7 linked regions of the Cricetulus griseus genome follow. The main gene of each other region encodes a partner of the protein of the gene in region 2 in a complex. Links are inferred from orthologs where the notes say so. Each region holds a gene or a part of one and is shown on either strand. Other genes may lie near its edges.

The links.
Region 1: Drc7 (region 2) and Ccdc153 share a complex: the UniProt entries of both Homo sapiens proteins name them as parts of the nexin-dynein regulatory complex. The link is inferred for Cricetulus griseus from reciprocal best matches to the Homo sapiens genes DRC7 and DRC12.
Region 3: Drc7 (region 2) and Gas8 share a complex: the UniProt entries of both Homo sapiens proteins name them as parts of the nexin-dynein regulatory complex. The link is inferred for Cricetulus griseus from reciprocal best matches to the Homo sapiens genes DRC7 and DRC4.
Region 4: Drc7 (region 2) and Iqcd share a complex: the UniProt entries of both Homo sapiens proteins name them as parts of the nexin-dynein regulatory complex. The link is inferred for Cricetulus griseus from reciprocal best matches to the Homo sapiens genes DRC7 and DRC10.
Region 5: Drc7 (region 2) and Fbxl13 share a complex: the UniProt entries of both Homo sapiens proteins name them as parts of the nexin-dynein regulatory complex. The link is inferred for Cricetulus griseus from reciprocal best matches to the Homo sapiens genes DRC7 and FBXL13.
Region 6: Drc7 (region 2) and Iqcg share a complex: the UniProt entries of both Homo sapiens proteins name them as parts of the nexin-dynein regulatory complex. The link is inferred for Cricetulus griseus from reciprocal best matches to the Homo sapiens genes DRC7 and DRC9.
Region 7: Drc7 (region 2) and Efcab2 share a complex: the UniProt entries of both Homo sapiens proteins name them as parts of the nexin-dynein regulatory complex. The link is inferred for Cricetulus griseus from reciprocal best matches to the Homo sapiens genes DRC7 and DRC8.

Annotation. Positions count from the first base shown.
Region 1 is NC_048597.1:155,926,544-155,930,858, reverse strand, and holds the start of Ccdc153 (coiled-coil domain-containing protein 153), read right to left. Parts: upstream 2,956-4,315; 5' UTR 2,204-2,955; intron 1,937-2,203; 5' UTR 1,927-1,936; coding exon 1,857-1,926; intron 1,831-1,856; exon of another isoform or gene 1,792-1,830; coding exon of another isoform or gene 1,787-1,791; intron 1,351-1,786; coding exon of another isoform or gene 1,346-1,350; coding exon 1,280-1,345; intron 186-1,279; coding exon 66-185; intron 1-65. UniProt on the Homo sapiens protein: Component of the nexin-dynein regulatory complex (N-DRC), a key regulator of ciliary/flagellar motility which maintains the alignment and integrity of the distal axoneme and regulates microtubule sliding in motile axonemes.
Region 2 is NC_048596.1:171,276,470-171,280,129, forward strand, and holds part of Drc7 (dynein regulatory complex subunit 7), read left to right. Parts: intron 1-501; coding exon 502-630; intron 631-2,654; coding exon 2,655-2,727; intron 2,728-3,465; coding exon 3,466-3,594; intron 3,595-3,660. UniProt on the Homo sapiens protein: Component of the nexin-dynein regulatory complex (N-DRC) a key regulator of ciliary/flagellar motility which maintains the alignment and integrity of the distal axoneme and regulates microtubule sliding in motile axonemes.
Region 3 is NC_048596.1:200,184,206-200,187,865, reverse strand, and holds part of Gas8 (dynein regulatory complex subunit 4), read right to left. Parts: intron 3,506-3,660; coding exon 3,296-3,505; intron 586-3,295; coding exon 520-585; intron 1-519. UniProt on the Homo sapiens protein: Component of the nexin-dynein regulatory complex (N-DRC), a key regulator of ciliary/flagellar motility which maintains the alignment and integrity of the distal axoneme and regulates microtubule sliding in motile axonemes.
Region 4 is NC_048597.1:100,410,634-100,415,091, reverse strand, and holds the start of Iqcd (dynein regulatory complex protein 10), read right to left. Parts: upstream 2,926-4,458; 5' UTR 2,898-2,925; coding exon 2,130-2,897; intron 1-2,129. UniProt on the Homo sapiens protein: Component of the nexin-dynein regulatory complex (N-DRC), a key regulator of ciliary/flagellar motility which maintains the alignment and integrity of the distal axoneme and regulates microtubule sliding in motile axonemes.
Region 5 is NW_023276806.1:172,973,912-172,977,571, reverse strand, and holds part of Fbxl13 (dynein regulatory complex subunit 6), read right to left. Parts: intron 3,540-3,660; coding exon 3,422-3,539; intron 3,329-3,421; coding exon 3,166-3,328; intron 786-3,165; coding exon 666-785; intron 1-665. UniProt on the Homo sapiens protein: Substrate-recognition component of the SCF (SKP1-CUL1-F-box protein)-type E3 ubiquitin ligase complex.
Region 6 is NC_048597.1:56,495,513-56,499,908, reverse strand, and holds the start of Iqcg (dynein regulatory complex protein 9), read right to left. Parts: upstream 2,844-4,396; 5' UTR 2,618-2,843; intron 2,591-2,617; exon of another isoform or gene 2,441-2,590; intron 223-2,440; 5' UTR 160-222; coding exon 152-159; intron 1-151. Other genes in the region: Rpl35a (60S ribosomal protein L35a), read left to right, coding at 3,607-3,617, 3,824-3,976. UniProt on the Homo sapiens protein: Component of the nexin-dynein regulatory complex (N-DRC), a key regulator of ciliary/flagellar motility which maintains the alignment and integrity of the distal axoneme and regulates microtubule sliding in motile axonemes.
Region 7 is NC_048598.1:15,668,630-15,672,289, reverse strand, and holds part of Efcab2 (dynein regulatory complex protein 8), read left to right. Parts: intron 1-1,634; coding exon 1,635-1,714; intron 1,715-2,473; coding exon 2,474-2,516; intron 2,517-2,608; coding exon 2,609-2,675; intron 2,676-3,660. UniProt on the Homo sapiens protein: Component of the nexin-dynein regulatory complex (N-DRC), a key regulator of ciliary/flagellar motility which maintains the alignment and integrity of the distal axoneme and regulates microtubule sliding in motile axonemes.

The sequences.
Region 1 (4,315 bases), on a different chromosome or scaffold from region 2:
CCAATTTTCATGGTTGTCCTCTTCCATGCCTTTGTCTCCTGCCCACCTGGCCAATCAAATCATACCTGCATAGACAGCATCCCTTTCACTTTGGGCCTTCTCCAGTTCAGCTTCTAGCCCTTGCAACCTCTGCTTCAGCCTCTCTTCAGAAGCCTTGGCTCTGCGGGTCTCATCCCTCTGGAGAGCTGTGGACAGTGTCAAGAGCCATGCTCAGGTCTGGCTGTGGGTCCTACAGAACCAATCACCATGGCCTCCATGAACTAAGTTCACCTCTGTGAACTTGGTGACAGGTGTCAATTTCGTATACTCTTTATTAGTTGCCCCAAAACCCATAGGGTTTTCATTCCTAAGTCAATAATCCCTCCATGTTCTGGCCACTATAAGACAATGGCTTCCCCAAGTTGCAGGTTAGCTCCATGGTAGACTACTTACCTATCATGAATGAAGTTGTGATTCTATTCCCAGCTGGGGGAAGGGGTGGGAGATAGCTTCTTTCATTGATCTTCACTGCCTAGCCCTTCCTCACAATCTTGCAAATAGATTAATGGCTATCTTGGTTTAGCCCTGCACACAGTTCAAACTTTCCAGTTCCCCAAGAACCCAGAAATGCCCTATGTTCCATACATTGGGTGGCTAGTTTATTGTCAACTTGACATAAGCTAGAGCCATTAGAGAAGAGGTAGCCTCAACTGAGAAAATGCTTCCATAAGATCAGGCTGTAGGCAAGATTTTAGGGCATTTTCTTAATTAGTGACTAATGGGGAGGGCCTACCCACTGTGGATGGTGCCACCACTGAGCTGGTGGTCCTGCGTTCTATAAGAAAGCAGGCTGAGCTGGGCATTGGTGGCGCACGCCTTAATCCCAGCACTCGGGAGGCAGAGGCAGGCGGATCTCTGTGAGTCCGAGGCCAGCCTGGTCTCCAGAGCGAGTGTCAGGATAGGCTCCAAAGCTACACAGAGAAACCCTGTCTCGAAAAACCGAAAAACAAAACAAAATAAAACAACAACAACAAAAAGGGAAGCAGGCTGAGCAAGCCATGTGAAGCAAGGCAGTAAGCAGCAACCCTTCATGACCTCTGTATCAGCTCCTGCCTCCAGGATCCTGCCCTACTCGGATTCCTATCCTGACTTTCTTCAATAATAAACAGTGATTTGGAAGCTTAAGCCAAATAAACCCTTTCCTCCCCAAGTTGATTTGGTCATGGTGTTTCATCACAGCAACGATGACCCTAACTAGGACTTCTATCTCTGCCATCTCCTGAGGCTTCAAACTTCTTACCCAAGTGGTCCTGAAGCAGCTCCTTCTCCAGCAGGACCATCCTATGCTTGGCCTCAGCCTCTGCATCTGTTCTGGCAAGACAATAGTCTCAGGTTATCCTTCTCTCGGCCTCACCCCAGTGCTGCTCTGCACCTGCACTTCTTCCTTCGTGATGGAGGAAGATAGCTGGATGAGGGAGGCCCAATGGCAAATCTGACAAATTTACGGCTGAGTGGCAGAGTCTTCACCCACCATGTGCACGGTGGGTGCTCAAAATAAGGGTGAAAAATATGATGAGGGCAAAGAACTAGATGGGGCTCCAGGGGGAATTTGGGAAGGAGGCATTCTCCACTTCCTCAGCCCCATGGAATCTGGACGCAAGGATCTGCAGAGGAGGGCCAGGAAGCTTCACCCTAGCCAAGTGTGGTAGCAACGCCTGTAATCCTGTCACTATGAAGACTGGGGCAGCCTGGGTCCCATAGTGACCCTGTGTCAAAAGAACAAAAGACAAAACCAAAACAAACCCACTCCATTTGTTGCCCAGAGGGCTGGATTCCCTCCGAGGACCTTTGTGTCACAGACACGCCCTGTGACTCACCAGGACTTGATTTTTTTTTCTTCTTCTGTGCCCCAGTTTTTCTCCCCTTTCCTTTGGTTTTAGGTGGCATCCTTGCTGCCCTGGGGGAGGGAAGACCTTCTGTGTAGGTCTGCATACAGAAATGCTCTCCTGACTCCTAGAGGTAGGGGTCTTGGGGCAGTCAGAATTCTAGTCTTCCAGTGTATCTTACACTTTCTAGAAGCTTTGGTTCTTGGTCTCCTGGGAACCCCAGGCAAGGCTGGGAGGTAGAGCAATTCTATGGGCAGCAGACAGCCCTTTTAGAGAAGATAAATCTCTGGACCTGGTCCCTTCTGTCTCCCCAACATGCTTATTCTTCCCCTTCCTACCTGGAGGACCTTCTCTTGCTTGAGTGCTGTCTCCCTGGGGAATAACACTCCTTGGGAAAGATAGAGTCCCAAGCAGATTGAGCCTAGGGAGGAAGGAGCCTGGGTCCTGGGAGCCAATCCAGGCTGAAAAACTTCCCCAAGAGGCAGGACCAAGAACTGGGATGTTGGGTTTCTGGAGACTGCCTGCTGCCCAGGCAACCGGGAAACACTGTGTTCATAGGCAGGTAGAATGGGCTAAATTGACTCACACAAAGGTCCTGTGTAGGTAGATTCCCCTCCTACCCGCAAAGAAAAGGTCTTGGAGCTGAATAGCTATTATTCATGTCTACACAGGCACTGCCTATCATCTGGAGACTTTGCAGTCTAGAAATCTAGAAGCATCCAGTGTGAGAGGCTAGTGCTTTACAGATGGAGAAGAAAGGCAGGGAAAGTAGCCATTGCAGGTACTTTATATCCCGAGGTCTCATGAACACAGTGACATGATTTGCTTTAGAACTTGAGGTCTACTTCAGAAATGCTATCTGTGGCTTGTGCAGGAAACACGTGCTGGCACAGGTAGTTGAGAGTTTTCCACTTAAGAGAAATGAGAACAGAGAAGAGCTGTGGACTTGGGGATGCTGACCCAGAAAGGAGGCCACAAATTAGGCAGAGTTGCGAACTGAGCTACTTAATTTTGCTCAGCTTGGATTTCTTGGTGTATAAGTTTTGTAGTTCCCTCCTGGAGTCCAGTTGTAGAGAGGGAGGAGGGATGAGCAAAGGGGTCAAGACCATGCTGGGGAAACTCACAGAAACAGCTGACCTGAGCAAGTGGGAACACACGGACCCCAGTCTGACATCTGGGGAACCAGCATAGGACCCAACCAGGCCCCCTGAAGATAGGTGTCAGTTGGGAGGCCAGGGCAGTCTATGGGGCCTCTGGCAGTGGAACCGGTATTTATCCTAGTGCACAGACTTTGGGAGCCCATTCCCTATGGAGGGATACTCTCTCAGCCTAGATACATGGGGGAGGGCCTAGGCCTTGCCCCAAATGATGTGACAGACTTTGATGATCCCCCTGGGAAGGCTTTACCCTCCCTGGGGAGTGGACGGCAGTGGGAATGGGATGGGGGTGGGTGGGCATGGGAAGACAGGACCGAGATTGCTATGTAAAATAAGGATATATATATATATATATATTATATATATATATATATAATATATATATATATACTCAGTGGTGTGTTTCTAGGACTTCTTTCTCTCCCGCTCAACAATTGTCTCACTCTCCCTATTTCTCTGTGAGGTTACTCTGCAGACAGGGTGTTTAGAAGCCCCCAAGCTCTCTGCAGCATAGAGTTGGTTAGTGCTCCCTCTAGTGGACTTGCTTTGACCAGAGTCTCCTAAATTTTGCAGTTTAGTATTTCTTGCACAATATGGGGGAGATTCTCTTTGGGGGATGCCTTCTAGCATCTTGCATATGATTTAAAAAATTGATTGTGGGTAGAGAGTGTGATGGGGTAGCTTGCTATTGCCCCCTCCATCTGGGAGGGCTCCATCCTGGAACCGGGCCATTACTGGGCATCACAATGGCATCATACATAGAATGGAACAGTAAGCCTTCCTTCTTCCCTGTGGATTATGGGATCTACAGACTCTTTTTGGGCACTTCTGTCTATTCCAGAATTTTGGTCAACTGCATATTATCAGAAGCAAATCTGCAGAAACAGGTATAAGACGTGGGAGGAAGATCTCTCACCTGTGAAGAAGAAGCAGAAGGTCAATGAGTGTTTATTTAACCCCATGGCACTTTAGAGATCTTAGAAAAGATTTTTAATTTTAATTTTTCATTTCGCTATATGTGTGTGGGTTTGTGCATGTGAGTGCAGTACCCAAAGAGGCTGGAAGAGAGCATTGGAGCACCTAGAGTTGGCCTTACAGGCTGCTGTGGGCAGTCCATCAGTATGGTTGGTGCTAGGAACCAAAGTCGGGGTCTCTGCATGAGCAGTGCTTGCTCTTAACTGCTGGACCATGTCTCCAGCCATCACTCTGTACATTTTGTAGAGGGAAGAGAGGAGTCAGACTTGCCTCTATGGTGCTTACAACCCATGGAACTTGGGGCTGGTGAGCCTTGTG
Region 2 (3,660 bases):
TGTTCCTAGGCCAGTTATGGGCCTGCCCTACAGCACATGCTTCAAGGAGGAGTTGAACACACCACTTGCCCTCCCAGAATTGCTGCTTTTCCATGCAAAATGACCCCACCAGATGAGTTAGTCACATATCACTCCCATGACTGCGCTCTCCTCCATAATTCCGTCATGCCAATCCACATTTAAACATTTCTTCCCCACAAGTAGTCATTTCCTAATAGTTTGCCAGCTCAGAAAGGCCACATAGTGGCATACAATGCTCTCATACAACGCCCCAGCAGAGGGCACTGATGAGTCTCCTCTGGACTGGCTGTAGGATTTTTTCCTGGGGAGATGGGATGATGGGATGGGAGATGAAGAAATGTGGCTGGACTCTTAGAGATTGAGCAAAGCTGATATTCTGCACAGTCCTTGCAAACCTCTGGGAACAGTCATTTCCACGTCCTAGGAGCAGGCCCAGGCATGGATCCAGGGGATGCCTTCAGTTGGTTTCTTTTCTATCAGGAATTGGTCTTTGACCTGGGAGACCCTGTGAGATGGGAGTATATGCTCTTGGGGACCGATAAGCCTCACCTGTCTTTGACTGAAGAGGATGAGGATGTGCTGGATGATGATGATGACATAGACAATCTGGTGAGTCTGGTGGCCTGAGGGTGGGTTGAGGGACTTCACCTGTTCTGCATCAGGCAGCCTGACCTGAAAGACACCCCTGAAAACACATGCATGTGTGTGGAGTCCAGATGTAGCATACACTCCTCAAAGAAGAGGAGCCTTTACTGAGCCTTCATTTTACAGATGGGTAAACAGAGGCCCAGGCATGTCCAGTGGCCAGCCTAGGACTTCCCAGTGGGTTAAAGAGTGACAGTGCCTGAATTCAGCCTTTCCCATCTGAGTCCTGTTATTCATGGTTGGGCTGATCCTTAGAAAGCGTATCTTTTTGGAGTGGGAGCCCAGGGCTGGCCACTCTGCTAGCTCCTCCTTAGTCACCATTGTGACTTTCTATCAAGGCCTTTCCTTCCTAGGTCCTTCCTACTAGGTCTTGTAGAGATCATGGGCCCGGGGGATCCCCTCACCAGCCTTCCTTCTGTCATCTCCCAACAAGGGATATGTGTGGGAGGAGAGAGGAGGGGTGCTTCCTGCATGATGTCTTGAGTGAGAAATCAGAGACTAGGAGCCCAGGGGTCTTAGTCAAATTCCCCTGCTTTGGGATCTTCCATTCCTCCTTATGTGTAAAAGTAGGTGAGGGTTATAGTCTCTTTGGTATCCATAGGCCAAGTAACAGGTGTTTTAGTCATCTAGCATTGCCATAACTAAGTGTTACAAACTGGGAGTCCCACACTACTGGAGGCTGGAATTTCAGGGTCAAGGTGCTGACCGGGCTGTTTTCTTCTGAGAGCCTCTGGGTTTGCTGATGGCCATTCATGCTGTGTCTCTACGAGTCTGTGTCCTAACTCCCTTGTCTCATAAGAACACTTAGCATATTGTAAGGTTACCTAAAGACCATATTTAGACTTCATTGCCTCTTCCCTAAAGACCTTTACTTCCAAGATACTAGGGGTGAAGGTTTGGTGTGTGATTTTAGAGGGAGGCTGAGTGATGGTTTTAACAACAGGTGATATTGGTGTGGAGACAGGCTCTGCTTGGTGTGGAGTCTGAACTCACTCATTTAAATCGCCACCTGGGAAACTGAGAACTTACAGACAGCAGGCAAAATGAGTCACCAAAGGACCCACCCAGGAAGTGAGAGAGCTGGGAGCAGAACCTAAACAGTGTGGCATATCTGGGTTCTCAGTAGTGGTGATTCAGCTCTGGGAGCTGCCTGAGAATGACTGAGTCACCCTGTTCTCCAACTCCTCATTTCTGAGCACTGGCGCCCCCTGCTGGCTGTGAGCATGGATTAGCAGCGTGCAGCGCATGCAATCCTGAGTTGGAAGCCTTGTCACATCCCTAGAGTGAGAGAGTCCTTGTTACCTCCAACATAGACAGATGATACAGCCTGAGAGTCAGCACTCAGCTATGGGACCAGACCTGGCCCTGGGATTTCTGGGCTTTCTCAAAAAGTTCTGCCAATGCCCCTTGCTGACGGCTCACCTTGTGTATTCCTGAAAGAAGTCACAATTAGATGAGCAAGTGTCCAAGGTCTGAACGTTGTTTGTGGCAGGAAGTGTACACATGGAATATCATGAGACTAATTTGAGGGTCATTTGTCTAGACCAGGCCTTACTTCACAGACTGGGGATGGACAGCCAGACAGAGTCTCAAGCCATGTTCATGATATCCTTTAGTCTTCCCAGGTAACAGCTAAGGAAACCAAGGCTTAGAGGATTTCCCCAGCCCTCCTTACCTGGTATTAGGTATAGTTAAAGGTATGGCTATGTCTGACTTGGGATCTCCTGAGTAGCCATCATGGCCTCAGGTGGTTTGGCTGGAAGGGCAGAGTATGAGAGCAGGCATTATCATCTTAGACCAGGCAAGTAGGGGATGGGGTCTGCCCCAGCTGACTCCTCTTCCTCCCCATCCTGATGGTGCTCCTGATTCCTGGATCCTGGGGGAAACTGACAGCCCCCTTATTAACCCTGGGTCTGGGGAAAGGGACAGAGCTGTGTCAAGGCCTCTGCTCCAGGGCCCTGGCCAGCATCCACCTCCTCTCCTCACAGGGCAAAGAAGAAGAGGATAAGAGCTTCGACATGCCACCTTCATGGGTCGCCCAGATTGAGATCACCCCAGACGGTCTCTGTCCTTCACCACTTCCTAGCCCCCAGGGAGTTCTGTACCCATAGCTAAGGAGAGAGGCCATAGGGGCCTACTGAGCCTTTCTTTCCACCCCTCTTTAACACCCCACCAGCTCTGTGCCCAGGGCCTGACACCATCTGGCACACAACTGGATTGTTAACATCATGACTAACAAGGTCTGGAACATGGCCTCTTTCCTTCCTTCAAATTCCCTGTTCGAGGAGGCCATAGGCAAGACCTGTAGCAGATGATGTAAGGGGGTCAGGCTCCAGGAGGCAAGGGCAAAGAAGGCAGGAGAGTGGGTTACCTTTTGCTCCTTGTCTACATATGCCCATCTGGGAATACTTAGACCCAGAAGAAGAGTGCAGGCTGTTCCAGCCAGTAACAAGTGCTGGAGAAGAGGTCATGGACCCTGGGGTGGGGGCACTCATCACAGCTCAAGAAGTAAGTACCACTGGAGCTGGATTTCAAAGGGTCAGAAGTCATCCCAGCATAGTGTTCTCACTGGTGATAGCCTGCCACGGCTGTGGGTGGCTGGGTCACAGGTATGATTCTTGGGTGGCACTGGGATTCTGGTGTGGATGCCTTGGGAAGAGTTTAAGACAGCACTAGTGGCTATTTTCTTCCTCCCTGGGGCTGTTTCTGGTCCTGGAGGCACTTTATAAGTGATGCAGAAAATGAATGAATGGCTAGGAAGAGTGGAAGGAGAGACCCCAGTCCCCTCTGCATTCACAGAGTTTGAGACCCGTTGCCCCAATGGAAAGAAAGTGATACGGTACAAGAGGGCACAGCTGGAGAAGTGGGCCCCATACCTCAACAACAATGGCCTGGTGTGCCGCCTCACCGTCTATGAAGACCTACAGTGTAAGACACCTTGGGGGCCAGAATGGGGGACAACCAAATGTACTAGGTGACTCTGGACATACTACT
Region 3 (3,660 bases), about 29 Mb from region 2:
ACCTAGATATAGAACCCAGGCTTCTCTCAGGTGCATGGGACAGATGGCAGCCAGGGTCCAGTGGGTACACATGTTAGTGTGTAAGGGTATGGAGCTACCTTAGATTCACAAAGGTAACGAAAGGGTGAGAGTGACTTACTGCAGTGAGCATTCATGTGGAAGAGCAGAGAGACACTTCCAACTGCCTGCCTGAGGGGCCAGCTGAGCAAAGAAGGGTGAGGGAGAGACAAATTTGAACATGGTAGGAGACAGAGTCCTAAGTGTGTGCCAGGCAGACCTATAAGCAAAGCCAGGACTAGGTCACTCTCAAGCCCTAAGGCTATGAAGACATATCACAAGGGGATTACCATACCTACCTTCTGAATGAAACATGCAGAAGAAATGAGAGAGGGCCTCAGGGACCCTTCCTTCATCTAGAATGTTCACAAGCTGAAGCTGGGTACAGGAGCACAGTTCTATGGAGGAGACAGCCCTGAGGGAGAAGGTGGGGCTCTGGGGATGGGGATGAGCCATACATACCTTGCAGACCCGGGCCAGCTCATACTGTAAGTCCTTGATGGTGGTATTCTTCGATTCCAGAACATCCTAAGGAGAGAGACAAGGGCGACTTTAATATTCGTCATCTGATAGAGGTGGACACTAGTCTTAGGGTTAGAAAGGCTCAGGAAGTAGTAGTCTAGGTTGCCTCAGCCCATACATGCATCCACACAAGTTTGTCAGCAGGAAAAGTATCCAAGGCAAGATACTTTTCCTTGTAAGAACAACAAGAAGGGGACAACAGTAGAATCTTTGTATTGCCTACATCCTTACAATGAAGCACCAAACTGCCAAGATGAAACAGCAGTTGATCTCTGTGTGTGTGACATAGGACATGTGACACAGGACAGAGGTCAATATTGGGTGTCATCCTCTATTGCTCTCCATCTTTTGTTTTGTTTGTTTTTGAGACAGGCTTTCTCTGTGTTGTCCCCGAACTCAGTCTGTAGGCCAGGTTGGCCTCAAATTCACAGAGGTCTGCATGCTTCTGCCTCCTGAGTGCTGGGATTAAAGGTGTGCATCACTAGCCTATAGGGCATTTTCTTAATGATTGATGCAGAAGGGCCCCACTCACTGTGAGTGGTACCATCCCTGGGCAGGTGGTCCTGGGTATACCAGGGATGAGATAAGACAACAGGTTGATAGGACAGCCAGGGCTACATAGAGAAATCCTGTCTTAAAAAAGAGAAACAAACAAACAAAAGCAGGCTGAGAAAATATGAGGAGCAAGTCAGTAAACAGCATTCATCCATGGCTTCTGCTTCAATTTCTGCTTCAGGTTCCTGCTCTGACTGCCCCCCCCCCCCCCCGCCCCCACCATGATGCACTGAGATGTAGAAATGTAAGTATAGGCAGAAGACTACCCCCAAATGCCCGGCAGCTGCTTTCCAAATTACTTATAAATGCCCAGCCAGTAGCTTATTACTAACTCTTACATTTAAATGAACCCATAATTCTTATCTATGTTTAGCCACATGGCTTATTACCTTTTATCAGTAAGGCATTCTCGTCTTGCTTCCTCTCAGTCTGACTGGTAACTCTGTGACTCTGCCCTTCCTCTTCCCAGAATTCTTAGTTTAGTCACCCTGCCTATAGTTCCAGCCTGGCTACTGGCCAATCTGTGTTTTATTAAAACAATTTGAATAACAAATCTTTACAATTAAAAATGGAAGGTTTTAATTTAACATAGAAAGATTACTTACAACAAAAACAGTTATTAAGAATGATAGTAGGGCTGGAGAGATGGCTCAGAGGTTAAGAGCACTGACTGCTCTTCCAGAGGTCCTGAGTTCAATTCCCAGCAACCACATGGTGGCTCACAGCCATCCATTATGAGATCTGGTGCCCTCTTCTGGTGTGCAGATATACATGGAAGCAGAATGTTGTATACATAATAAATAAATAAAAATCTTTAAAAAAAAAAAAAAAAAGAATGATAGTAATAGCCAAGCGGTGGTGGTGCGCTCCTTTAATCCCAGCACTTGGGAGGCAGAGGCAGGCGGATCTCCATGAGTTCGAGGCCAGCCTGGTCTACAGAGTGAGTGCCAGAACAGCCTCCAAAGCCACAGAGAAACCCTGTCTTGAACACCTCTCCCCACAAAAGAATGAGAGTAACACTACCTAATCCATTTGCATTTAGCAAAATTAGAGAAAATACTCAATTTACACTACATGTAAGTGAAATAAACCCTTTCTCCCAAATTATTTTTAGTCATGATATTTTATCACAGCAATAGAAAGCTCAAATTCAGGTGCACACACCAACACAGCCAGCTTTTCTTGTAGGTGCTGGGAATCCAAACTTTGGTCCTCATGCTTCTACAATAAGGTTTTACCAACCATCTACCCAGGCCCTAATTTTATTTTACTTTATTTTTTTTTGTATGTTTGGTTTTCATTTTGTCTGTGGTTTTTTGTTTTGTTTTGTTTTTGTAGACAGGGTTTCTTTGTGTAGCCCTGGCTGTCCTGAAACTCACTCTATGGACCATGCTGGCCTCTGTTTCCAAGTGCTGGGATTAAAGGTGTGTGTCACCACTGCCTGGCCCTAATTGTTTTTAAAGGAAAAAAAAAATTGTATAAATTTTAAAACTCTACAGTTGCTGGGCAGTGGAATTCACCAGCCAGACACTGAGGAAGTAGAATGCAAAGTACTGAGCAGAGGTAATGAACCACAGGGTAGAATGTAGATTAATATAAACAGGTTAATTTAAGTTATAAGAGCTAGTTGGGAACAAGCCTAAGCTAAGGCAAAGCTTTCATAATTAACAAGAAGCCTCCATGTCATTATTTGGGAGCTGGCAGTCCAAAGAAAGTCTGACTATAGGCCAAGGCTTGGCACACACATGACCACGGTAAAACAGGGACACCAGAGACGCAGGTTAGGGATAGGGTTAGTGAGGGACTAGGACAGCTCAGGACAGACCGCAAAGCTACGTATGGTACATGCCCTTAATGGCAGCATTCATGAGGCAGAGGAAGGCAGATGTCTATGAGTTTGAGGCCAGCTTGGTCTACATACTGAATTCCTGTCTCAAAAAAAAAAAAAAAAAAAGAGAGGCAGAGCAGGGAGCAAAACCGGAAATGGACAGGTGCAGTGCACAAGGGCCTGTAGCACATGCTCTGTTCTCAGATGCAGAAACCATGGCAGCCCCTGACTTCACTGAGGGGGTCTCTGTGCCATCCAAGAAGGCAAAGCACAGGACTGAAAGACCCACCATGGAAAACAAACACTGTGACCCACAAGGCCATCAGCACTTACCTCCAGTTTTCGGGACACAAGCGTTAGTGCTGCAGGATCCAAGTTGGAGGCTGCCAGCACCTCGTTGAACTGCACCTCCCTCTTCTCCACTGCAGCATTCAGTGCCTGCAGTTTACGCTCCAACAACAGGTTCTTGAAGCCTGTCTTTTGCTGCACCTCCTGGATGGCTGCAGTGAATTTACGATAGAGGTCGTCTCTCTCCTGCTGCACCTGGGGACAATAAGACTGGAGTGAGCAACAAGGACCCTCACAGGAGATATCTCTTTAGGGAGAAACCACTTCCCACCCGCCCTAAGTATGTTGCTTCTGTAGAAGGGTCACTTTCACTATCGCCACACCCATGGCACATGGTCCTTTGCTGTCCA
Region 4 (4,458 bases), on a different chromosome or scaffold from region 2:
ATTAATTGCCACACAGACTCCCACAATCACAGGGGCAGCTGGCCTTTGGTTGTGCCCTCCCTTAGGGTTTGGAACCAGCCAGGCTTATGCTCATCTCAGGTCTGGGACCACATGCTCCCCTCCACCTAGGAAAGGGATCAGCAAACAAAGGCTCATAAGCCAGATCCAAACAGCCATACCTGTCAATAAATTGAGACACAGCCCTTTTGTTCTGATACTGTTTTTGGCTGCTTCCACACTAACAGCAGAGTCATGTGGAGACAACTGGCCCACTAAGCCCAGTGTGTGGATTGTGTGACCCTTTGGAGATGAGATACAGAGCCAAAAAGAAAGCAGGCTGCAGGAAGACAGCAGCTGCTGAGGACCCACAGCCATCAAGATGTGACAGATCTGAATTGTAACTAACCCTGGGACTTACTATAATATACTAACTAGTCAACTGTGGGTGGGGGCAGGGTTGGTAGCAATGTGCATACAGGTACACTTTAAGCTTCCTATAGAACCTCTGAATGTTCAAATATTCAAACCTGTCCATAAGATGAAACACAGCTCTGTGTTCACAGCTGTAGAGTAGCCTGCTGTAACTCTCTGGATATGTGCTTGCATGTATGTGCACCCTCACCAGTCATCCACCTCTCTCATTGGCCTGGAGCTTGTGGCTTAGGTTAGGCTGGCTAGCCCCTGGTCTCAGGGGTCCCCCATCCCTACCTCCCCAATGCTGAGATTACATAGGTACACCATCATACCAGCTTAAAAAAAAAAAAAAAGTGGGCTCCAAGGCTCAAACTCAGATTCCCCAGCTTGTACAGAAAGCTTTTTACCCACTCAGCCATGCCCTGACTGCCCTGGAATTCTCTCTGTAGACCAGGATGGCCTCGAACTCACAGAGATCCACCTGCCTATGCCTCTAGGATGCTGGGATTAAAGGTGTGCTCCATCACTAGCCAACCCTGTACTTCTTTTCATAATAGGCTTTCACTTTTCTTTTGTTTCAATATTCTTGGATTTCAGATTTCTTTTAAGATTGAATATAATTTTAAAAATTGTGTGTGTGTGTGAGAGAGAGAGAGAGAGAGAGAGAGACAGAGAGAGAGAGAGAGAGAGAGAGAGAGAGAGAGAGAGAGAGAGAGAGAGAGAGAGAGAGAAATTGTACACATGAATGCAGGGCGACATCCCTGGGAGCTGGAGCTACAGGTGTTTGTGAGTTGCTGGACATAGGTGCTGGGAACTGAACTCTTCTGCTCTGCTAGAGCGGTATATACCAGGTGTGATGGCACAGGCCTTTAATCCCAACACTCAGGAGGCACAGGCAGGGAGATCTTTATGAGTTGAAGGCCAGCCTAGTCTTCGGCATTCCAGACCAGCCATGGCTGTGCATTGAGTCCCTGTGAGTCCCTCAAAGGAACAGTATGCACTTTTAACCACTAAGCCGTCTCTACAACCCCTCCCCCATGTATCTGATGTCTCTCCTATGTAAGATGAAGAACTCACTTAGCTGGTAACAAAGACACCTTGCCAGCCCCAGAGCATCTGGGTGGGACTCCACGTAGGACATCAGGGTCACCAGCCCCACTTTTTGTATGGCCTCATCCAGGACTGACATGACAGTCACTTGTCTGGCTCAGTCCCCCTTTCTTTTTTTTGTTTTTGTTTTTGTTTTTTTTCGAGACAGGGTTTCTCTGTGGCTTTGGAGGTGTCCTGGAACTAGCTCTTGTAGACCAGGCTGGTCTCAAACTCACAGAGATCCACCTGCCTCTGCCTCCCGAGTGCTGGGATTAATGGCGTGTGCCACCAATGCCCGGTGCAGTCCCCCTTTCTTGATCCTTCTTGTCTTAGTGGCAGTGTCCCTGGTCCTTCCGGCCCGAGTTCAGTTCTCTCGTATCATCCCTCCATGGTGCCCTGTCCTTACCCTTCACACTTCCGAACAGCTGTCAACTAATTCCTTAATGTCCTGTGAGCTCTTGAGGCTGGATTTATTTAATGATATAACCTCCTAGTAAAATGCTCAGGACAATCTCTACAGAGTAAATGATGAGGAAGCTATTTGAATCAACGAAAGAAAAGCCAAGTCCCAAAGGGCTTGGCCCACGCAGTTCATCCCGGAACCTGAGGGATGCTGGGAAGTATACCTCTGCCTCCTTATTCTTTAGCACCTCCGCCAGCTCGGCCTGGAGAGCATCAATGACTTCTTGGTTCCTTTCATTCCTCCGGTTGATGTCCTGTATGAATTGGTTCTTCTCCCTTACTTCCATAGGGCTGGTGAGGAGCTTTTCAAAGAGGTAGCCCCGAAGCTCTATCAGGGCCTCAAGGAGGCGCTGCGCCCCCCGGCTTCTGCCTGGTGCACGTGCCTGCAGCAGTGTGATGATTTGGGATTGGCTGGACAGGAGCCTCAGGATGGCCTTGGTGGAATCTCGGAACTGGTGTGCCAGTGGCCACAGGTTGGCCTTGTATAGTTCTATAGACATTAGGCGGTCCCGGCACCAGGCTTCCTCAGCATCCGCCTTCTTTTCCTCCAGCAGTTTTTGTTTCTCCTGCAGGTTGCTGGCACCCTCCAGAAAGACCTGGCCGATGTCCAGATGTTCTCTGATGGCCCTCATCAAGTCTTCAGGGAACACTCCCTCCAGAGCATCTGGGTGGGACTCCACGTAGGACATCAGGGTCACCAGCCCCACTTTTTGTATGGCCTCATCCAGGACTGTCATGATTCTCTTGGCCTCGATGGTGTTGAGCTTGGATTTGGATGGGGTCAAGGTCTTCATTGGCATAACTGGGATTATGTCTGTACTCAGTGGGATTCTATGGATGGCCAGGCCATCGTAGGAAGGGGGCATGCTGAAGATGTCCAAGGCCAAGGCCATCTCTGGAGCGGCTGACTTTGCCTCTGTATACCCCGGCATTGAGACGTCAGCCAACTCAAGGTTCTCCTGGCTTTTCAGTCAGCAACCCTGCAAAGGAAGGGGTGGCTGTTAGGTATAATGGCCATGACACCACTCCATAGAACCTGGAAGCTACTTTTAGCTCTTTGGATTTTTGTTTTGATTTGATTTTTTGTTTGTTTGTTTGTTTTTGAAATAGGATTTCTTATAGCCTAGTCTGTCCTTACCCCTGACCCAAGTGCTGGGGTTACCTTATCTTTTAGCATTGTGATGATGCTTGGTGCTTGACTGAGCCATTGGAGTAAGAGGACTGAGGGTGGAGGGGAGTCCTGGGCACATATACCAGGCAAGAGACAGTCACTGTTCTGAGGACTTTCATATGGGGGTTACCCAAGTGGCAGAAATGTAGAGAGGCCAGCTTTAGGCAGCGGAGGTCACCTAGCAGTGTCAACAGCAAGAAGTCACACAGGGAGAAGATGTGAGTTGGGGGGACCAGGGGCAGCAGACCCCAGAGGAGTTGAAGCTGTAGCTGGAAGTGCTGTACAAGCAAAGCAGAGCGTGGAAAATGTGCTCTGCCCCTGCTTGCATTTCCTCCCCATGTTGCCCCAAACCAGTGGGAAATCAGCTGAAGAGCCTGGGTCACAGCCCAGCACACAGAGGAGGCTGGGACAAGGCACCACAGGTCACAGAGTAGGATGGGACATGGACACAGTAGAAAGGTCATAGAGTAGGACATTAATAGGACAAGACACAGACAGAGCTGAACAGGTCAGCTCTGTCCTGAATGACAGTGAATGTCCTGAATGTCCTGAATGGGGCAAAAGCAAGCAGGGTGGGTAACAGCGCACCAGCACATGTCAGGAATGTGTGTGTTTGGGTGTAAGTGTGTAAGTGTGTAGGTGTGTATGCCCCTGTAGTATCCATGTGAATAGAGTGTTGGTGTGTGTAGATATGCATGTATGTGTGGATGAGCATGTGTGTGGGGATGTATATGTGTGTGTAGTGTATGCATCTGTGTGCATGTGAGCACACATATTACATGTCCATATGCAGGCTAGAGGTCACCATTGGGTATCTTCATTTATCCATCTCTTACTTGTTTTTTGAGACCAATCAGTCCATGTCCTGGACCAGTGGTTCTCAACATGTGGGTCGTGACCCCCATCAGGTATCATGAATATTAGATATTTACATTATGATTCATAACAGTAGCAAAATTACAGCTATGAAGTAGCAACAAATAATTTTATGGTTGGGGTCACCACAGCATGAGGAACTGTACTAAAGGGTCACAGTGTCAGGAAGGTTGAGAACCACTGTCCAGACTAGGTTCTGAAACAGAGAAGGGCATCAGAGTAACAGCTGGGAAGCCACCAAGTTCAAGGTTTGGTTAGCAGTATTGTATCAATAGCGTCTTACCTATGTGTTTCTTTGTTTGAGGCAGAGCCTCCTGTAGCCCAGGCTGTCATGGAGCTTGCTATGTGGGAGAGGATGTCCTTAAACTCTGGCCTCCATCCCCAAATGTGAGGAGTACAGGCACTGCAGTCACACCAGGTTTGACAATGTTACTTTCTTAGTTCTG
Region 5 (3,660 bases), on a different chromosome or scaffold from region 2:
GAGTCCTAATCTATACCTTAAACTGGCCTGGAACTCATTTTGTAGTTCTAGGCTGGCCTTGAACTCATGGCAGTCCTCTGGACTCAGCCTGTGAAGTGCTGGGGTTTGGGATAGGAGCCCCATCTGGCTAATATAAAGTTGGAGGGAAGAAAGGTGGAGTAATATGAGACTGTCTTTGATTTCGTTTCACACTATGGTTTAGAACAATGCAAGAAAAGTGTTTTTCAGAGTCATAAAACACCAGCATGAAAACACCCTGAAGAGTAGACACCAGACATGCATGGCCAACCTCCACACTTCTCTCTCCTTGGTCTATGGCAGGAGCCTTAGTTGAGGCCACTGCCAAGCGAGGAGGGTCAGGATTAAATCAATCATCTACAATAGTCCTCAGGAAACCTGAAGTAGGGACAGAATCCTTGAAAAGTGCAGACAAGTCACACTATCTACACATCCATCTCTCTGTTCAGAATTAAACCCAGTAACAATAAGAGGGAGCAGCAACGATGGGGTTAGGCTACTTCCTTCTAAGGACTCAAGCCTAACGGCTATTCTAGCTCTGGGTGTGCCCAACATGCAGCTAAGGACTTGGGCTCTTGGCTTTTAGGTCTATCCATGGTCACGCCTGTTACAGCTAATGTTCTAATGCAGATTGTCGCTTGTCCTACCGCTCTGACAGTTTCACAATGGCGGGATCGCCCACAAGGGAGCAGTTATTCAAATTGAGTTCTCTTATCTTCACACTCACAGAACCATCAAGAAATTGCCTCAGGCCAGCATCACTAATCCTGTGGAAAAGAGAGACAGAAGGGTCACATATGTTCTCATAAATAAACATACAGGCTGGTGGTGACACCAGTTTCTACACCAAATACATTCCAAAGTAGGAAATATCCATACACTGGCGTTTTGTCAAATTTTTGAAAATGATTGCATAGCTCTTAATATAACAGAAAATGGATATATGATAGTAATAGGAGAGATATTAATAAAATGTTATTTGTGTCCATTTGTTTTATTAGGTGGCATGATTATTAATAACATGGATGATCTCTTTTTTCCAGTTTAAAATGTACTAAGGTTAAAAAATCCCTGATAGGATCAGCAAAAGGCTAAGGCCAAATTTTAGAACAGGAAGAAGCAAGACTCAAGATCCTGGATGGATTCTACCGAATTCAAGGTCACCTGGGTTGGACCAGAAACACAAGGGGTGACCTTTGGAACTCTAGGCCAGAGAAAACTTGCATCTGGAAGAAGTCGGTGACTTCAGCCTGTCGTCATTAGAAGCGCCTTGAGGGGCCACGCTATCTCCCTGTACTGTCCTCGGTCTTCCAGGAGGGCTTTACTTCTAATATTATCTGAAGACCACCAGTTGCGTCTCTAGAAAGCCTTTCCACCAGTGAAACAGGACAAGCGATTGATTATATCACACACAGACAGTCTACAGGAGGGTGTGCGGGCAGGAAGAGCACTCAGAGCCTTCCTTGCTGGCTGCACTTTCCCTTTGACTCGCCAGGAGCAGAGCAGAAAAGGCAGAAGGTGATTGTTTCTGTTGCTTCAATGAGCCAAGCACCCTTAGCCAAGCAGCTTCTGAGATGGCGTACTTACTTATAGTTTTAGGTTACAGTCCACCATTGAGGGAGGTCAGCTCAAAGCAACTAGTCTCTTCCCATCCGCAGTCAAGAGCAGAGAGAGCTGAAGGTACCCAGGCACCCAAGCTGCCTGCTGGGCATCTTGCTCTCAGCTAGCTTTCCCTCCTCATACTACTCAAGGCCTGTCCTGGTTTCCTTTCTGTTGCTATGATAAAACACTGACCAAAACCAGCCTGGGGAGGAAAGGGTTTACTACACCTTACAGTTTCGAGTCCATCATCAGAGGAATCGAGGACAAAAGTTCAGGCAGGAACCAAAGGCAGGGAATAAACACCGACCTCAGAGATGCTTGCTACTAGGCTCTAGACAGCCCAGGCCCACCCACTCAGAGACACCATCTCCCACAGTGGGCTAGGCCCTTCTACGTCTAAAAGCAATCAAGACATAGTCATGCCCACAGGTCACCCTGAAAGAAGCAATTGCTCAATTGAGGGCCCCTCTTTCAGGCTGTGTTAAATTACCAAACAAGATTAGCCATCACAGGACCCCCAAACCAGGGCATAGTGCTGCCCACAGTCAGGGTGGGTCTCCCATGCCAATTAACAAGCCCCCCCCCCCCAGACATGCCAACAGGCTAACCTGACAGACAGGTTGGAAATCCTTTCAGGTGATTCTAAATTGTGACAAAGTTGACATTAAAAACTATCATAACAGTATTCCAGCGAATGGAAACTTTAGTGATTCCCATGATGCATCTCACCCAGTCACTGCTGTACCAGCAGCTAGGAAGGCAAGCCAGAGGCTGGTGGGGTGGGAAGTGAGGCATGACGAAGAGCAGGGTCCAAACACAACAAACTTACCTATTAGCTAACACCAGACTGGAGTAATCAATGAGTAATGTTTTCACTAACAAGAAAATAAAATATAGAACCCAAGCTATAAGACTGAGAAGTGTGTCTCTGGAAAAGATTTGCAAAAGAAAGCAGAAAGGCAGCACTGTGGGCAAGGAAACAGGAGTGAGAGTTCACAAAGAAAGAACCCACCGGAAGCAGGACAGTTTAGTAACCTGAGACTCTGCTTAGTTTGAGATAGATTAGCTCCTTTCCAGGCACACAATGTACCTAGCAACCTCAGAGCCCCCTCAAGCCCCACCCACACTGCGCTACTTGTAAACCTCTGTGAGAAACAGTGTAAGTTGTCCTTCTCCTAACAACAATCAAACCTAGACAGTTTCCTTTCAAAAAGATTTCCAGATATCTAGAATGAAAAATAGGCCGAGCCAGCTCAGCTGGTTTTGGGAGCTAGTGCAATACAACAAAACTGTGTTTTCAAGTGAACTTTTAGGGAAAATCCTCTGCGTACAGTCTTGGGCCTATGTGTATGATTAAAATCAGATGCATGTGCCGTCAAAAATGATTATATAATTACTCTATCAGTCAAACTAGAAAACTCATCTACACAGTAAGACTTGGTCCCCTGCCTTTCCTGATCCCCATTAACACTGTGGAGAGGGACTGGCTCATCCTTGATAATGTTACTTGAACCCTGAGTTGACATACCCTGAATGACTTCTTACCTTATGCAATTGGTCAAGTTCAACACTGTCAATTGCTTCAAAACTGAAAGTGACTTGAGGCTGCTGTCTGTTAGTGTCTTGCAGTCCACCATGTAGATGTGATTGATACCTGGGTAATTCTTGTCTATGTATTTGAAGCATGCATCAGTAATCCTTTTGTTTCCTGTGGAAAAGAAGGAAATACAAGTACTATATTTAAAGGTCCAGGGAAAAAAATTTAAAAACAAGGTTAAATCATGTTTTTGGCTTCACAGACCTTCAAATCGGATCTTTTTGAGGTTACAGGAAGTAAGAGCTTTGAAAGCACAGTCAGAGATGTGTGGTGAGCCAATGAAAACCACCGTTGAAATTTGGAGACACTTCTCAACCAAGACCTTTGGGAGAGGAAAGAACAGAGACAGGTTAACTACTGTAGAGGACCAACAATGAGGAGATACTGTCATTTTCCCCTCAAGATTTTCAGAAACAGATATGCTAACTATTACATTTTCCTAA
Region 6 (4,396 bases), on a different chromosome or scaffold from region 2:
TCCATAGCAAAACCAAATGTGACACATCTTTGCCTAGTTAAAGTAATATTCACAACAGTGGTTTGTTACACAGTAACAGATAAATAATCCACAGAATTTAATTTTTACACATAATGTCATACTATATGTACAAACTGGAATTTGAACGTACCCGTCCATTTTTCCTGAGTTACTTCTGTTGTCCTCTGGGGTAGATTTATAATTTCACAAGAATGCAGTAAGCTTAAATGGGAAAGAAATGCCATTAGTTCAAGAGAATGCTGAATCCTGTTTTTTTTTTTATTTATTTTTTATTCCCGTGCTCTTTCACTAGGAGAAAAAAAAAATGCAGAATTACAAGAGCTATGGTTTGTCTCCTTCTCCTTAGTGGAGCAGACTCATGTGGTGAGGCTTATTTAGTGGTTGGCTTTATTACTGGTCTACCAAACAGAAGATACATGCAACGCAGCCTTTTGCCTCTTCTTAAGGTAATTTAAGTACAATTTTAGTATGTTTCATTGTATCCTGATTTTGAATTGGTAATCACTATAGAACAGATTTAGTTATTATTTTTCTATTATTCTCTCCTCTATATTGAATTAAATGAATCTACCCTGTTCTGTCAGATTATAGAATTTATTGTACCTTGACTTAGAACAATTGAGATCACATTTAGAAATACTATATTATTTATTTATTTTTTAAGACTGTATTTTTTTAAGCCAGGCGTTGGTGGCATACGCCTTTAATCCCAGCACTCACGAGGCAGAGGCAGGCGGTTATCTGTGAGTTCGAGACCAGCCTGGTCTACAAGAGCTAGTTCCAGGACATCCTCCAAAGCCACAGGGAAACCTTGTCTGGAAAAACCAAAAAAAAAAAAATGACTATTTTTTAAAAATTAATTAATTTTTTATGTGCATTGGTGTTTTGCCTGCATGTGTGTCTGTGTGAGGATGCCAGACCCCCTGGAACCAGAGTTATAGATAGTTGTGAGCTGCCATATGGGTGCTAGGAATTGAACCTAAGTCTTCTGGAAGGGCAGTCAGTGCTCTTAATTGCTGAGCCATCATCTCTCCAGCCCCAGAAAAACTATATTAACCCTGGAAATCAGTTTAATAAGTTATTATCCTTCAGAGCTGGGCATGGTGGCAAAAATCTGTAATCCCAGTACTTGGAAAGGGGAGGGTGAAGAATCAGGAGTTCAAGGCCATCCTTGGGTTAACATAGGGAGTTTGGTAAGCTATGTGAGACCTTGTCTTTGTTGCTAATGTTTATTTTTTTTACTTATGTGTGTGTGCCTGTTTGGCCCTATGTTCACCCCATGGACATACAGAAGACCAGAAGATTCCCTAAAATTGAAATTATAGGTCATTGTGAGCCATGTGATGTAGATACAAGATCTCTGTAAAAGCAATATGTGCTCTTAACCATTGAGCCATCTCTCCAGCCTAGTTGCTCTTTAAAATGGTCTAGAAGAGGTAATTCCAGGACAGCCTTCAAAGCCACAGAAAAAGCCTGTCTCGAAAAAAACAAAACAAAACAAATTGCATATGAATCTAGTTCTAGATCTGAGGCTCTCCTCTGACCCCTGAAAACACCCACATACATGTGACATACATATGTGTACATAAACAGTGTTTTGGTTTTCAAGACAGGGTTTCTCTGTGTAGCCCTGGTTGTCCTGGAATTTTCTCTGTAGACCAGGCCGGCCTTGAATTCACAGAGATCTACCTCACGAGTGTTGGGATTAAAGGAAGGCTGGTGCCACCACCACCGGGCTTCATAAACAATTTTTGTTGGTTGGTTGGTTGGTTGGTTTAAGGAAGTTATCACCTTTTAACATACCATATGCTCTATCTGATTGTTGTCTTGTGATTTTTTTCTGGGGGGGGGCGGGCATGAGTGAGTGAAGGGTCCTACTCTGTAGCCCAGGATATCCTTGTACACATTATGTCCCTCTGACTGGCCTGAAAACATAAAGCAATCTTCATACTTCAGTCTTACAGACACAAGAGCCAAAGTGCCCAGCCTGCTCCTCCATGCAGGCTGCAAGAGGGGGAAGTTTTTGCTGTTTACTGCAGTGCCCTCAAGACTACACCATTCTCTGTAGTGGCAGTCATGCAGTACTTGCTGAATAAATGAACGAATCCATCAGTCAGCGCAGAAGAATGTGAATCTGAGTCTACTAAATTCATCCTCACCTGACAAGTAAAACAACGGAGGAATGAATATATCTATCTCTCACCTTCCCCACTCCCTCTCCCCCTTTTTAGAGGGGTCTCCTAGCTCAGGCTGACTAGCAGTCCCTGTGTAGCCTTCGAACTATTCTCCTGGTTGCGCACCCACAATACTGGGATTACAAACAAGCACCGCGACCCGCGGTTTGCCTCGTATGTTGCCCTAGTTTAACATGGGTCCTTGCTATCTAACTCAGTCCGGCCTCGAATTTGTGACGCGATACCTCAGGCTCCGGAATGAGTGCTGAGATTAACAGGCAGGAGTCACCACGCCCTGTTTGTTTTCGTGAAAGATAAAGGCTTAGATAAGAGAAAAGACGAGAGCTTCCCCTGCCTTCGTGCTCCAGGTTTTTCTGTCCTCCATTCAAGGAAGAGGGAAAAAAAACCCTCCTTTTCCTCACCTTTCCACCAGCCCGGCAGGAGGCGGGACCCAAACTAAGGCGTAGCTATGGCAACGCGCAGGCTTCTTTTTTTTTTTCCGTTAGGACCTTTGCCTTTTTCTTAGTCGACTACAATTTTGCCTTTTTTTCCCCCCCGAAGTACTACGTGTCGCCGCTTAGAAAGTTGAAAGAACAGGAAAAGAAAGTAAAGTTCCTGAGCGCGGCTTGTCCGAGTCGAGCCTCTCTCCCTGATAGCTCTCCGGCAGAGTGCAAGCGGCCTAAGCGCGGCGAGGGGCGGGGCGTGCATCCCACAAGGCCGCGCGGCGGGCCTTGCCTTCCTCTTTCCGCCATCTTGGCGCCGGTGGAGGTGAGCGAGGCTCCCGCTGCTCAACTTTGGGGGCCGGTTGCTGGGGTGGGTTTGTCTGCGCCGCTCCCCGAGACCCCCCTGCACCTCGGAGGCCCTGACCGCCGTCCATTTCTGGGGACTCCAGGAAGAGGGAGGGCGGGATGGCGGAGATGAGGGACCGATGGTGTTGAGGCCCCCGGCCGTGGGGAGGGAGGCTCGCAGGTCCCGGCTGCTCCTCGGGCTCCGGAGGCTGCATTTCGTCCGTCTTGCTTGCCCGGGAAGCGGTGATGCCTAGAGGCTGCTTTCCCCGAGCTGGACCTTGTGCGTGTTACCTGTGCATTCTGCAGAGTTTTGCCAACTGGCTTAGGTTTGCCTCTGGGGTTTCTACAAGTTAGATCTTGAGTCTTCCCCGAACCTAGCTTTTCCAGGTTCCGGAGTAGTGAGTTGTCGTCATTCATTCTCAGAAGTCTTGAGTATTTTTGCCAGGCTCTACCTCTGTAGCTGGTATGGCAGAGTTAGGAGTTCCCAGTACTTGAAGTGCTACTGAATTCGCCCAACGTGCTCCAGAAAAGGAGTTGACAGGTGGGAAACGTGCTCCACGGCTCTAACTTGAGATCTTGTTTGTTTTCAGGCCTGCTGGGAACAGGACTTCTAAAAGGCAAACATGTCTGGAAGGTATGAGACTCGGTTTTTCCTTTTTTTTTTTTTTTTAAATCTTAACTAGATGTGAAACCCAGGTTTAAAATCATGCGGGAGGGGAACAAGATAATTTGCTTTCCATAGCTGTTGTAAGAATTCTTCAAAACAAGTCACGGTGGTTTGCCAGAAGTTAAATGAACAGTTGTAAAGTTTATTCATAATGTCTGTCTTGTGTGTCTTAGGCTGTGGTGCAAGGCCATTTTTGCTGGCTATAAGCGAGGTCTCCGGAACCAGAGAGAGCACACAGCTCTTCTCAAAATTGAAGGTGTTTATGCCCGAGATGAAACGGAATTCTACTTGGGCAAGAGATGTGCTTACGTGTATAAAGCAAAAAAGTAAGTGTGTTTGGATGCCTTTCAATTTCTGTTTGGTCCCCCTCATTTTTCTACTGAAAGAGTAGAGGTGTTAGTGTAGATTGTTGCTGTTGTTGATTTGCTTAGAGGCCACAAGGAGGAACTTAAAGGAAATTATAGAAGAATTATGTTGTCGGTGATAGTGGATATAGGGAACTTTGGCTTTTAGAAAAATTACAGTTGTAGAAAGGCCCAGGGTTCAGTCTCTAACATGGTTTTAAAGGAAAGATTAAGGCTCCCACCTCCCAAAGGTCCGACAGAATACTTGTCAATGCATCTTGGCTTATTTTAATTCCTTAGGATATTTTTGTGTTGTGTGTTTTTTTTTTTTTTTAAGTGTGTGTGTGTGGTTTTCTTGTTTTGCTTTTTTTTTTCCCCCTCTCCAGACAGGGTTTCTCTTTA
Region 7 (3,660 bases), on a different chromosome or scaffold from region 2:
TACTGTTGTATCTATTTCTTCTATCATATCTTCAATGTTGGTGAGACTTCATGGTGTAGATTCTCTGAAGTTTCCAGGAGACACAGAGATTGACTTTTAAAAAGTCTTCCCTGAGGTTTAAACCCCAGAGTCCATAAAGACTCTACCACTGAGCCTCACCTGCATTCAGATGTTTAACCTTTAAGTCTCTGTGTTCTGGGAGTTTCAGACTACCGAGCTATATTAACATGAATTGTCAAAATGCTCATCATAGACCTTAGAGGAAGCTGAAGAAATTGTTCACATGGTACAGAAATTCTGAAACATGATGTCCCTAGATGGGTTTGATTTTCTCTGATAATGGATTCTGAAGACTCTACTCATACAGACTCATATGAACATTAAAAATAGTTGTCATTTGGATGACAGTGTATTCTACTTAATAGCCACCCATAGATTTATTTTTTGTTGAAACAATAAATCTCTTAAAAACTCATCTGTTCAATTGGGATCTATGAGCCTTTTAATAGGATTTTTGAAAGAAAGTGCAGGATTTATAGCTCCGTATAAATTGCCTGACATGGAAGTTAAGGTCAGTAGAGCTTTGTTCAGTCGGTCGGAGTTGAACCCGGAAGCAAAAAAGACTTGTTTCTTTCTCGTTCTGTAGTGCTAGGTGCCAAAAGCTCTCATCTTTAGAATAGTATTTTCTTAACTTAGGATGACAGAGCAGAGTTCTAGTACTCAGGAAAGTATTTCATAAGTACAAGAATGATTTGAGATGTAGGTCGGTCCTTGAGATGATGTATTCAGGGTTCCTCATTTCACGGAAAGACAGTGCATTTGTGCAAGTCAGAATCTGGGAGTCATTTTAGATGCCTTTTCCCCCTAATCTGTAATGGGTGAATGCTGTCACTCTGTCAAGTCTTCTTAAAGGTCACATACCCACTCTCCTCATGGCCACCACTCCAATCTGCACCATCACCCTTTGTCTGAAGTAGCCACCTCATCCACAACAGAGTGACCTTTCAAAACACACACCTATGAGACTGTCTGTGGTTTTGCATTGTTCTCAGGATAACAGGGAATGGCTGTTCTGGGGATGATAGGGTCTCTCTCCAGCCTCTTCCAGCCCAGACACTACAGTTGCCAGTGACTTCCCTGATGCGCTGATGGGAGAGGCTTCCTGTGCTCTGTGCTCCACTAGACCCACATTCCTTTGCTCATGGTGTTTGCATAGATCTAGATTTAGACATTCAAGCCAGGCATGGTGGTTCATGTCTGACATACCACCATAGGGGAGGCTGAGCAGGAGGATCATTTCAAGTTTGCATAGTAAAAACAAATTGGATACTTGCTTTTGTGTTCGGTGTGTGGGAGCACACATGCCAGAGGTTAACTCTGAGTGACAATCCACTGTGATGCAATTACACACCTTGCTTTTGACATGAGTGCTAGGAATTGAGTTTAGGTCCTCAGGGTTGAGTGGCAAGCAGGTTACTGAATTGTATGTGTCTCTCCTGCAGAAAACAAGCTCCACAAGCTGCATTTGTGTCTATAGTCTCATCACCAAGTCCTAACCTTGTCTCAGTGTTTGAAAGAAAGTAGTTGCTCAGTATATTTGTTGAATGAATAAATGACTGTTTCTAATTGTTCAGGTGGAAGAAGAGGAACCCACCGGATACATTCGTTTTGAAAAGTTTCTTCCAGTGATGACCAAAGCACTTCTGGAAAGAAAGTAAGGAAGTAAATCCAATTTTAAGACAAGATAACTAGAATGGCAGTAATTTCAAAACATTTGGCTGGCCAGGTGTGATGCCTTATGCCTGTAATTCCAGCATTGATGGGCTGAGGAAGGAGGATTGCCACAAACCTGAGGCTAGCCTTAGTTATGGAGTTTCAGGCCATCCTGAGCTACAGAGTTTTGCCTCAAAACCAAACCAAACCAAACCAAACCAAACCAAACCAAACCAAACCACTTGGCCTTTTATATTTTATTTACCCAGTCTATATCTTAGGGTAGTTTCCTCTAGCCTTTCAGTGTACTGCAGACTGGTTTAGGGATGTGCTTATAAATATAAACCATGCTAGCATTTATTAATACAAGCAAGAAATAATGAAAAGGAAAAGGAGCTACAAAACCAACAACATTGTAGTTATATTTAACTGTGAATTACTATTTAAAAATAAAAATTAACATTAGTTACTTTCCTAGCATAAGACAGCATTAGCATATGACAGTTGATTGATTGTAGATGTTTTGGTTGTAGATAAATTTATTTTTATATCAATGAGAAAATGCTAATAGGTAATACCAAACATTCCTGTGGGGTAGGTACTGTTGACTTTCATATCCAGAAATCCAAAGAAATTTCATCAAGGGAAATGCCATTAGCATAGTATATTAGTGGCTTTTATTTTGCCTAATGCAGTCATTTATCATGTAGAGACTGAGATAAATATGCTGGCATTAACTCACTTTATTGTAAAATTACAGATACAGACCAATTGGTGAAGATGTCCTTCTCAGAGCTTTTGAGGTGGGTGAACTCCAGATTATTCATGTATATGTGAAAAACTAATTCATCATATAGTATTTATTCAACAAAGAAAATATATCTACTTTCCCCAGGTTTTGGATCCAGCTAAACGAGGGTTTCTGACCAAGGACGAACTGATCAAATACATGACTGAGGAAGGTCAGAGCACTTTATTTCTTATTTGAGTAATTTATGCAAAGATAAATAGGCTTAAAGATGTTTATTTTTTAATTGTGTGTGTGTGTGTGTGTGTGTGTGTGTGTGTGTGTGTCTGTGTGTCTGTGTGTCTGTGTGTGTCTGTGCATCTGAATGCAGTACCCATAGAGACCAGAAGCATCATGTCCCCTGTAGCTAAAGTTACAGATGGTTGCCAGCAACCTGACATGGATACTGGAAACTGAACTCAGGTTCTTGGCAAGAACAGTGCATGGTTTTAACTGCTGAACCATCTCTCCAGCCCAATTAATAAGTTCTAAACAATTATGCAAAAGTTATGGGAGGCGATACTTTAAAAGCAATTGTTTGGTTAAATAATTTATTTATTATTCCTATTATTTTGGTTTGGTATTTGATTTTGTGTAATAGAAGTGTAATGATTACTTGTATAAATTGTGTTTACTTTATTCACTTAAAATATTTTCTGAATAAAAGACATGCCACTTAATATGAGCTGTCAATCATAAACCAATGCCTTTTTAGACAGAAGATTTGAATTATAGTATATAAAAATTTCTTTCAAAAGACTGTCTTCGGTGGTAAAGTTGCAAACAATATAGCCTAATTGAATGCAAATTCACGCAAAACTGTATTTTCTTACGATAATGGGACCTCCTCTGACAAATACCTATATATTTCCTTAAATGTTCTCTTTTTATGTCAATATATATATGTGTGTGTGTGTTTCCGCTAACTGTAAGCAGCATGATGGACAATCATTAATGCTGTTCAGACACACACACCCTGCACTAAGGAAGGAGTTCTGCTTCCTCTACACACACACACACACACACACACACACCCTGCACTATCTTCAGCTCCCAGATGCACAGGCCACGTGGTGAGTGATGCAACAGTCACCCATCAGTTGGACATGGACATGGGTATCATTTTGAGCAAGGAGACCAGTACTGGAAGCTCTATGCAC